Saccharomyces cerevisiae S288C: one gene and its partner. Changing the gene in region 1 together with any one later gene gives a genetic interaction. Each region holds a gene or a part of one and is shown on either strand. Other genes may lie near its edges. The genes, in order: ERG10 and CCH1.

What was found.
Region 2: mutations in ERG10 (region 1) and CCH1 together harm fitness more than expected from each alone (negative genetic interaction), as found in Saccharomyces cerevisiae (2 studies listed by BioGRID).

The regions. Positions count from the first base shown.
Region 1 is NC_001148.4:496,281-499,965, forward strand, and holds ERG10 (acetyl-CoA C-acetyltransferase), read left to right. Parts: upstream 1-1,815; coding exon 1,816-3,012; downstream 3,013-3,685. Other genes in the region: ATP-dependent RNA helicase SUV3, read left to right, coding at 1-1,439; SMA1 (Sma1p), read left to right, coding at 3,385-3,685. UniProt on the Saccharomyces cerevisiae protein: Acetyl-CoA acetyltransferase; part of the first module of ergosterol biosynthesis pathway that includes the early steps of the pathway, conserved across all eukaryotes, and which results in the formation of mevalonate from acetyl-coenzyme A (acetyl-CoA).
Region 2 is NC_001139.9:923,050-930,930, forward strand, and holds CCH1 (calcium channel protein CCH1), read left to right. Parts: upstream 1-1,646; coding exon 1,647-7,766; downstream 7,767-7,881. Other genes in the region: GPI1 (phosphatidylinositol N-acetylglucosaminyltransferase), read right to left, coding at 1-1,413. UniProt on the Saccharomyces cerevisiae protein: Voltage-gated, high-affinity calcium channel that functions together with MID1 to mediate calcium entry into cells. Required during conditions of environmental stress.

The DNA of each region.
Region 1 (3,685 bases):
GGTACTACGCAGGGCCGTTAAGACTGCTAGCAAGGGAAGTGTACGATAGATTTCATGCAGAAAAGATAAGATGCAATTTACTGACTGGAGAGGAAGTTATTCGTGATTTGGATGATAGAGGAAATTCAGCAGGGCTGACATCAGGCACAGTAGAAATGGTGCCAATAAATCAAAAATTTGACGTTGTTGTTCTTGATGAAATTCAAATGATGTCTGATGGGGATCGTGGCTGGGCTTGGACGAACGCGCTTTTAGGTGTCGTTTCCAAGGAGGTCCATCTTTGTGGTGAAAAGAGTGTTCTACCTTTGGTTAAGAGCATTGTTAAAATGACTGGCGATAAATTAACGATTAATGAATATGAGAGGTTAGGAAAGTTAAGTGTTGAAGAAAAACCTATCAAAGATGGCATCAAAGGTTTGCGCAAAGGAGATTGCGTCGTTGCGTTTTCAAAGAAGAAAATATTGGATCTCAAGCTAAAGATAGAGAAAGACACCAATTTGAAAGTTGCTGTAATTTATGGCTCTTTGCCGCCTGAAACACGTGTTCAACAAGCCGCCCTATTCAACAATGGAGAGTATGACATAATGGTAGCATCAGACGCTATTGGTATGGGTTTAAACCTGTCTATTGACAGAGTTGTATTCACGACAAATATGAAATATAATGGTGAAGAACTAATGGAAATGACTTCTTCTCAAATCAAACAAATAGGTGGTCGTGCGGGAAGGTTCAAATCTAGATCTGCCTCCGGGGGTGTTCCTCAGGGTTTTATCACCAGTTTCGAATCAAAAGTTTTGAAAAGTGTAAGAAAAGCTATTGAAGCACCTGTGGAGTATTTAAAAACTGCGGTTACATGGCCTACAGATGAAATATGTGCTCAACTAATGACACAATTCCCACCAGGAACGCCGACCAGTGTCCTGCTGCAGACTATTTCAGATGAGCTAGAGAAAAGTTCTGACAACCTGTTCACGTTATCTGATTTAAAGAGCAAACTGAAAGTTATTGGCTTATTCGAGCACATGGAAGATATCCCATTTTTCGACAAGCTGAAACTAAGCAATGCGCCCGTGAAGGACATGCCTATGGTCACAAAGGCGTTCACCAAATTTTGCGAAACAATAGCAAAAAGGCATACAAGAGGCCTACTGTCATACCGATTACCTTTTAACCTACTGGACTACAATTGCATACCGAATGAGAGTTATTCATTAGAGGTTTATGAGTCATTGTACAACATCATTACTCTATACTTCTGGCTCAGCAACAGGTACCCAAACTACTTCATTGACATGGAATCTGCTAAAGATTTGAAGTATTTCTGTGAGATGATTATTTTCGAGAAACTTGATCGATTAAAGAAGAATCCTTACGCACATAAGCCCTTTGGTTCTACAAGAGGTCACCTCTCATCTTCGAGAAGAAGATTGCGTACATAATCTACGATATATCCTGTAAATAGAAACAGCTACACTGCTTGAAAGCCTTAACATGATACATTTCTGGTATGATGCCATTGTTGTGCCCTGCCGGGTTTATCGTTTCCTAACAGGCACGTCACTTATAACGAGGTGCCTGTCGTTTACCGCCCAAGCCGGTTTTTTCGCTGGAGAGTACGGTACTACTAGCCCACCACACGTTCGTGGCCAGGTTGATAGGCCACCGTTGAGCAAAGGGCAGTAAAATATATAAAAGAGGAACAAGCGCTTCCATTAAGAGCACTGCTAAGCCTACTCGTTTTCTAGTTCTCTGAAAAAAGGTAGCCTAAAACAAGCGCCATATCATATATATTTATACAGATTAGACGTACTCAAAATGTCTCAGAACGTTTACATTGTATCGACTGCCAGAACCCCAATTGGTTCATTCCAGGGTTCTCTATCCTCCAAGACAGCAGTGGAATTGGGTGCTGTTGCTTTAAAAGGCGCCTTGGCTAAGGTTCCAGAATTGGATGCATCCAAGGATTTTGACGAAATTATTTTTGGTAACGTTCTTTCTGCCAATTTGGGCCAAGCTCCGGCCAGACAAGTTGCTTTGGCTGCCGGTTTGAGTAATCATATCGTTGCAAGCACAGTTAACAAGGTCTGTGCATCCGCTATGAAGGCAATCATTTTGGGTGCTCAATCCATCAAATGTGGTAATGCTGATGTTGTCGTAGCTGGTGGTTGTGAATCTATGACTAACGCACCATACTACATGCCAGCAGCCCGTGCGGGTGCCAAATTTGGCCAAACTGTTCTTGTTGATGGTGTCGAAAGAGATGGGTTGAACGATGCGTACGATGGTCTAGCCATGGGTGTACACGCAGAAAAGTGTGCCCGTGATTGGGATATTACTAGAGAACAACAAGACAATTTTGCCATCGAATCCTACCAAAAATCTCAAAAATCTCAAAAGGAAGGTAAATTCGACAATGAAATTGTACCTGTTACCATTAAGGGATTTAGAGGTAAGCCTGATACTCAAGTCACGAAGGACGAGGAACCTGCTAGATTACACGTTGAAAAATTGAGATCTGCAAGGACTGTTTTCCAAAAAGAAAACGGTACTGTTACTGCCGCTAACGCTTCTCCAATCAACGATGGTGCTGCAGCCGTCATCTTGGTTTCCGAAAAAGTTTTGAAGGAAAAGAATTTGAAGCCTTTGGCTATTATCAAAGGTTGGGGTGAGGCCGCTCATCAACCAGCTGATTTTACATGGGCTCCATCTCTTGCAGTTCCAAAGGCTTTGAAACATGCTGGCATCGAAGACATCAATTCTGTTGATTACTTTGAATTCAATGAAGCCTTTTCGGTTGTCGGTTTGGTGAACACTAAGATTTTGAAGCTAGACCCATCTAAGGTTAATGTATATGGTGGTGCTGTTGCTCTAGGTCACCCATTGGGTTGTTCTGGTGCTAGAGTGGTTGTTACACTGCTATCCATCTTACAGCAAGAAGGAGGTAAGATCGGTGTTGCCGCCATTTGTAATGGTGGTGGTGGTGCTTCCTCTATTGTCATTGAAAAGATATGATTACGTTCTGCGATTTTCTCATGATCTTTTTCATAAAATACATAAATATATAAATGGCTTTATGTATAACAGGCATAATTTAAAGTTTTATTTGCGATTCATCGTTTTTCAGGTACTCAAACGCTGAGGTGTGCCTTTTGACTTACTTTTCCGCCTTGGCAAGCTGGCCGGGTGATACTTGCACAAGTTCCACTAATTACTGACATTTGTGGTATTAACTCGTTTGACTGCTCTACAATTGTAGGATGTTAATCAATGTCTTGGCTGCCTTCATTCTCTTCAGGCTCTATTAATTTTAACCGTTATAAGTTCCTTTTCTCCCTTGGAAGCAAACATCAACTGCCTTAAAATCTGGTGGCGAGGAAAGAGGAAATGGCATGTACTAATGATGGTCCTAATAAATATCCCGAAATTGTGAGTGTTAAGCACCTGTTCCAACATTCGGGATCCAAGCATGAATTTAGTGCTGGTAAACGATTTTCAAAATCCATTGGTAAAATATTCAAACGAAACTCTGCTTTGAAAACTTCTAGAACTGAAACGGCAAATCATAAAATGGAATTGAAAAAAAGAGAGGGTGTTACCTTATTGCCACCTGTCCCAGAATCATTATTACATAAACTCAATTCTTGGTTGGAAACTTTTTCTTCCACCAAGAACATGAAAATCGAAG
Region 2 (7,881 bases), on another chromosome or scaffold:
TGCCATCACTGTGGGAGTCAAGAACACTAGAATAATAAATAATAATGTTCCCAATAGCAATTGATCTAGTTGAAAATAGTTATGGTCAATCCTATTTCGTAAAACGTTCCTCTTTTTACCGCAGAACAGGTTAAAAAGACTAGCCATAATATTCAACTGACAATGGTACAGTTTACTGCTGATACGATAAAAAACATATATTGGAAAACTTAAAATTGCAAAAAAATCAATCGCTAGGGAAACAGCAAAAGAAAAGCCAACGAGAAACATCATATATATCGTTAACGTGAGCAAAGATGATAGGGTTTTCGGATCAATGAGTCTTTTTATGAATGTGGTATAAGAAAATTCTATCACCCAAAGAAATAATTCGCTCAAAAAGTTCGCAAGTTCTGCATTTAATTTGATGCCAAGGGGGTTATTTGCTAACGTTTCAGTTATTGTTTTTAATGAATCATATAAAAAAAACTTCAATACTCTATGGGATGCCGACACCAAGAAATCTCGATTCTCAATAAGTATGGCCCCCAATATTAAACCAAATGAAATGTCATTAATAATAAGCCAAATTGTATTATACAATAAAATATAATCGGGATAGAATTTAGAAGGCATATATGAATGTGAGAATTGACTATTAGAATTATCTTTTTCCACCATAGAGCCAACATTCTGTATGTTATCCTTCTTATTAATACGCTCATACTGTACTGGGAAATAGCAAATTTGTTGACAACGAAGATCGATTTGCTGGACAAATGCCGAGTAATTTACCAACTGAAAGTGCGAATAATTTAATAACGAGGATACGAGACTAGCAATAGAGCAGATCACAAAAGTCAAATAAAAACCAATTTTTGCGACCATTTTATAAATACAAGTAGATGAACACCAAGCTGCGACACTATTAAGCATAGTACCCCTCAAATTTTCCTGTGATGTTTGAATAAACGGGTAAAGCTCATTTAATGCTTTACAATATGCGGGGAATAGATTAATGATGTTCAAAGTTTCACTCAATTTCTTATTATCTCTCTTGTATCTTGGATGTTGCTCTAATTTAGAATAGTTCAGAGTTTCACCCACACTACTATGAAGACCAACTTCTTTTTCTGGTATGATGAGCGAGATGGGATCAGAAGAATAGAATTGCATAAATTTCAGCTTGGGTATTCTAAAATGGACATTACAGGGATCAGCAACTTTGTAGTTCCAACCCTCCGCTCCATTGTTCTTAGTAGCTACCACTGAATAAGGGGGCCGTATGCTTACTTCTTCTAAATACTGAGGTTCGCAAACACCTAAGACAACAAAATGCGTCTTCTCAAATGAAATTGCCAAAGCTACCTGAGGTCCTTGAGCTGCGGAATTCTCGAACAAGGATTCGTATGGCCAGAAAATGTAATTTGGCATGTCATTTAACTGTATAAAACCGCCCCTGAATTCGAAGGTTCCTGTTCACAGAGGAATTTTCATTCTTTTTGGTATTATGTTCTGGTAGGTTTTTTTCATATTCTACATTTCGGCATTCTCACTGAAAATAAATATAGATGAGATAGAAGATCATGAATCAATGGTTGGTGACAAGCTAACATAAGGAAAATCAAAATACACGGCATTACTAAATAGAATATATTGTTAGTACTATGCAGGGGAGAAAAAGGACGCTTACGGAACCATTTGAGCCAAATACCAATCCATTTGGGGACAATGCAGCAGTAATGACGGAAAATGTTGAGGATAACAGCGAAACAGATGGTAACCGTCTAGAATCAAAACCACAAGCTTTGGTCCCACCAGCTTTAAATATCGTGCCACCAGAGAGCAGCATCCACAGTACTGAAGAAAAAAAAGGTGACGAGTACAATGGAAATGATAAAGATAGCTCCTTAATCTCCAACATATTTCGTACTCGTGTCGGAAGGAGTAGTCATGAAAACTTGAGCAGGCCTAAACTCTCACTTAAAACAGCATCATTTGGTGCCGCTGAATCTTCCCGGCGTAATGTTTCACCCTCTACAAAATCTGCCAAGTCTAGTTCGCAGTATATTGATTTAAATGATGAAAGGCTACGCAGGCGTAGCTTCAGTAGTTATAGCCGATCATCTAGTAGGCGTGTTTCTAATTCACCAAGCTCAACGGATAGGCCTCCACGGTCGGCAAAGGTTTTATCGCTAATTGCCGCTGATGATATGGATGATTTTGAAGATTTGCAAAAGGGATTTAAAAGTGCAATAGACGAAGAGGGCCTGACATGGCTACCCCAATTAAAATCAGAAAAAAGCCGTCCTGTATCAGACGTTGGAGAAGATAGAGGAGAAGGAGAACAAGAATCTATACCTGACGTTCATACACCCAATGTAGGAGCAAGCGCTACTCCAGGATCAATTCATCTAACACCCGAACCCGCGCAGAATGGTTCGGTATCTGAGGGTCTAGAAGGCTCTATTAATAATTCAAGAAAGAAACCCAGTCCAAAGTTTTTTCATCATTTATCACCGCAAAAAGAAGATAAAGACCAAACAGAAGTTATTGAGTATGCTGAAGACATTCTAGATTTTGAAACCCTTCAAAGAAAACTGGAATCAAGGCCCTTTGTGCTTTATGGACATTCTCTTGGGGTTTTCTCGCCTACGAATCCGCTAAGAATAAAAATTGCTCGTTTTTTGTTGCATAGGCGGTATTCGTTACTTTACAACACTTTGTTAACATTTTATGCCATTCTCCTGGCGATAAGGACATATAACCCTCACAATGTGGTTTTTTTATACCGTTTCTCTAACTGGACCGACTATTTCATTTTTATTTTATCAGCTTGCTTTACAGGCAATGATATTGCTAAAATAATTGCGTTTGGATTTTGGGACGATTCTGAAATGTTTAAAGCCTATGGACGTGAGTATAAATCAATCTTACAGAGATCTGGAATTATGAAACTATACATATATCTGAGAGAAAAGTATGGTAGAAAGCTAATAGATTTCATTATTCCATTTAGGATCATATCGCCGGGAGAAGAGACAAAATATCAACGAAGTTCGTTGAGTACTTCCCTGACGAAACCTTATGGGGCAAAGGAAAATCAGAGGCCTTTTGGCACCCCAAGAGCCTTTGCGAGATCATCGTGGAATAGAATAGATCTGGTATCTTCTGTCAGTTTTTGGCTAGGTATGTTTTTATCCATAAAAAGTTATGATACAAAAACAGGCATAAGAATATTCAAGCCCCTTGCTATATTAAGGATTCTTCGACTTGTAAACGTGGATACTGGTATGCCCTCAATTCTAAGGGGATTGAAATATGGTATCCCACAGTTGGTAAATGTTAGTTCAATGCTAGTTTACTTTTGGATTTTCTTTGGGATTTTGGGAGTACAGATTTTTCAGGGCTCTTTTCGAAGACAATGTGTATGGTTTAACCCTGAAGATCCTACCGATACTTACCAGTACGATATGCAATTCTGTGGTGGTTACCTAGATCCAGTAACAAAACGAAAACAAAATTATATCTATGAAGACGGATCAGAAGGTTCTGTTTCAAAAGGCTTTCTTTGCCCACAATATTCGAAATGTGTTTCCAATGCCAACCCCTACAACGGCAGAATTAGTTTTGATAATATTGTTAATTCCATGGAGCTCGTTTTTGTCATTATGAGTGCGAATACTTTTACTGACTTAATGTACTATACGATGGATTCGGATGAAATGGCTGCCTGTTTGTTTTTTATTGTTTGCATCTTTGTTTTAACTATCTGGCTGCTAAATCTACTCATTGCAGTGTTGGTATCATCTTTTGAAATAGCCAATGAGGAGTACAAAAAGAAAAAGTTCATATATGGTTCTAGAAAGACAGGTTATGTTGCTCGCATAGTAACAGGCTACTGGAAATATTTTAAGCTTAAGGCGAATCAGACAAAATTCCCAAATTGGTCCCAAAAAGGACTAGCTATTTATTCCCACGTTGAGTTTATCTTTGTCATACTTATTATTTGCGATATAGGTATGCGCGCCTCTGTTAAAGTATCGACTTCGGCAAACTGTAACAATATCCTTCTAAAAACTGACAGGGGAATTTCGATTGTTCTCTTCATCGAATCACTGGCAAGGTTAGTATTATATCTGCCCAATATGTGGAAGTTTTTAACAAAACCTAGTTACGTTTACGATTTTATTATATCAATTATTACTCTGGTTATTAGTTGCCTGGCTGTTGAAGGGGTTCTAGGACATATGTATGCCTGGCTATCCATATTCCACATATCCAGATTTTACAGGGTGATTATTTCTTTCAATTTAACAAAAAAACTATGGAAACAAATATTGAGTAATGGTGTTATGATTTGGAACTTATCGTCTTTTTACTTTTTTTTCACCTTTTTGGTTGCTATAATCATGGCTGTGTATTTCGAAGGCGTGATTCCTCCAGAAGAAATGGCAGACCAGCCATTTGGAATGTATTCACTACCGAATTCATTTCTTTCTTTGTTTATAATAGGTTCAACTGAAAATTGGACGGATATCCTATATGCCCTCCAAAAACACTCACCAAACATCTCCTCAACTTTTTTTTGCTCAGTATTTTTTATTATATGGTTTCTACTATCCAACTCAGTGATCTTGAACATTTTCATTGCCCTAATATCAGAAAGCATGGAAGTGAAAGAAGAAGAAAAACGACCACAGCAAATTAAGCATTATCTTAAGTTCGTCTATCCTCAGAAAATACAAGAATATACACACGCTAGTTTGGTTGCGAGAATTCGTAAAAAATTCTTTGGAGGTCATAGGAACGAAGATACAAGAGATTTTAAGCAATTTCTTATGAGAGGAACCGCGATAATGAACATAGCGCAGAATATGGGGGAGTTGGCCGATGAATTCAAAGAGCCACCTTCAGAAAACCTATTTAAAAAGGGCTTATCAAAGCTCACAATTGGGGTTCCGTCACTAAAAAGGCTGAGAATGTTTGCTAATAATCCATTTTATAAAAATAGTGACGTTGTGTTTACAGAAACGAACGATATAAATGGGAGGACGTATATCTTGGAGTTGAATGAGTACGAGGATGAGAAGCTAGATTATTTAAAAAAGTACCCTTTATTCAATTACTCATATTATTTCTTTTCTCCTCAGCATAGATTTCGAAGGTTCTGTCAACGCTTGGTACCACCAAGCACTGGAAAAAGGACTGATGGATCACGATTTTTCGAGGATAGCACTGATCTATACAATAAAAGGAGCTATTTTCATCATATTGAAAGAGATGTATTTGTATTCATTTTCGCACTTGCCACCATTTTACTAATTGTTTGCTCATGTTATGTTACGCCTCTATATCGTATGCATCACAAGATGGGAACTTGGAATTGGTCCTCGGCGTTAGATTGCGCCTTCATTGGTGCCTTCTCAATTGAATTTATCGTGAAAACAGTAGCTGACGGATTTATATATTCTCCAAATGCTTACCTGAGGAATCCATGGAACTTTATTGATTTTTGTGTCCTAATCTCAATGTGGATTAATTTAATTGCATACCTAAAAAACAATGGAAATTTGTCTAGGATTTTCAAGGGATTGACAGCCCTGAGGGCCCTCAGATGCCTCACGATCAGTAACACAGCTCGTCAAACATTTAACCTAGTTATGTTTGATGGTTTAAATAAAATTTTTGAAGCTGGGTTGATTTCACTCAGTTTGCTATTTCCATTTACAGTTTGGGGCTTAAGCATTTTTAAAGGCCGTTTAGGTACTTGCAATGACGGAAGTTTGGGCCGTGCAGATTGTTACAATGAATATTCAAATTCCGTTTTTCAATGGGATATCATGTCTCCAAGGGTTTACCAGCAACCATATCTTCATTTGGACTCTTTCGCAAGCGCTTTTAGTTCATTATACCAAATCATTTCTTTGGAAGGATGGGTTGATTTGTTGGAAAATATGATGAATAGTTCAGGAATAGGTACACCCGCTACGGTAATGGGTTCAGCAGGGAATGCTTTATTCCTCGTTCTGTTTAATTTTTTAAGTATGGTTTTCATCCTGAACTTGTTTGTTTCATTCATTGTTAACAACCAAGCAAGGACAACAGGAAGCGCTTACTTTACCATTGAGGAAAAGGCGTGGCTGGAATCCCAGAAACTTTTATCTCAGGCCAAGCCAAAAGCTATCCCAAATTTAATTGAGTTATCAAGAGTTAGGCAATTTTTCTATCAACTTGCAGTGGAGAAAAAAAATTTCTACTACGCATCGTTTCTTCAGGTAGTACTTTATTTGCACATAATCATGCTCCTGAGTCGAAGCTACAATCCAGGAAACTTGATAGGTTATCAAGGTGTTTATTTTATGTTTTCCACTAGTGTTTTTTTAATTCAAGAGGCACTTCACATGTGCGGTGAAGGACCAAGATTATATTTTAGGCAAAAATGGAACAGCATACGACTCAGTATCATAATTATAGCCTTTATTATGAACGCTGTAGCATTCCACGTTCCAGCCTCTCACTATTGGTTCCACAATATAAAGGGGTTTTTCCTGTTAGTGATATTTTTGTTTATTATTCCTCAAAATGACACACTAACTGAACTATTAGAAACCGCAATGGCAAGCTTACCGCCTATTCTATCATTGACCTACACTTGGGGGGTTTTATTTTTAGTATATGCTATTGCTTTGAATCAAATCTTCGGCCTAACAAGGTTAGGGAGTAATACGACCGATAACATAAATTTTAGAACTGTAATCAAATCCATGATTGTTCTGTTTAGATGTAGTTTTGGTGAGGGCTGGAATTATATCATGGCCGACCTAACTGTGTCAGAACCTTATTGCTCCTCTGATGATAATTCAACCTATACGGACTGTGGATCAGAGACATATGCCTATTTGTTATTAATGTCGTGGAATATTATTTCCATGTATATTTTTGTGAATATGTTTGTTTCGTTGATTATTGGTAATTTCAGTTATGTTTACCGTAGCGGTGGATCTCGCTCTGGCATCAACAGATCGGAGATAAAAAAATACATTGAAGCTTGGTCCAAATTTGATACTGATGGAACTGGCGAGCTTGAGCTGTCCTACCTCCCAAGAATAATGCATTCATTTGACGGTCCTCTTTCATTTAAAATTTGGGAAGGTAGATTGACAATAAAAAGTCTAGTCGAGAACTACATGGAGGTTAACCCAGATGATCCATATGACGTCAAAATAGACCTGATCGGACTGAACAAAGAGCTGAATACGATTGATAAAGCAAAGATCATACAGAGGAAGTTACAGTACAGAAGATTTGTACAAAGCATTCACTATACGAATGCTTATAATGGATGTATCAGATTCTCGGATTTGTTATTACAAATACCTCTCTATACAGCTTATTCTGCAAGGGAATGTCTAGGTATTGATCAATATGTCCATCATCTATATATCCTGGGTAAAGTGGACAAGTACTTAGAAAATCAAAGAAACTTCGATGTATTGGAGATGGTGGTAACAAGATGGAAATTTCATTGCAGGATGAAACGTACCATTGAACCCGAATGGGATGTTAAAGATCCCACAGTATCGTCTCACATTTCGAATATAAACGTAAATCTGGAACCTGCTCCAGGAATTTTAGAAAGAGAACCTATTGCGACACCTAGAATGGACTACGGTGTTAACAATTTTATGTGGTCTCCGAGAATGAATCAAGACTCTACGATGGAGCCCCCGGAAGAACCAATAGATAATAATGACGATAGCGCAAATGATCTAATTGATAGATAAATTATATAAGGGCATATTTAAGAGGCTTTATAGATGTAAAAATGAACAATAAGAATAATTTAAATTTGTTTTATTGAGAGGTGATTTTCTAGAGCATGTCAAACTTTACTATTCA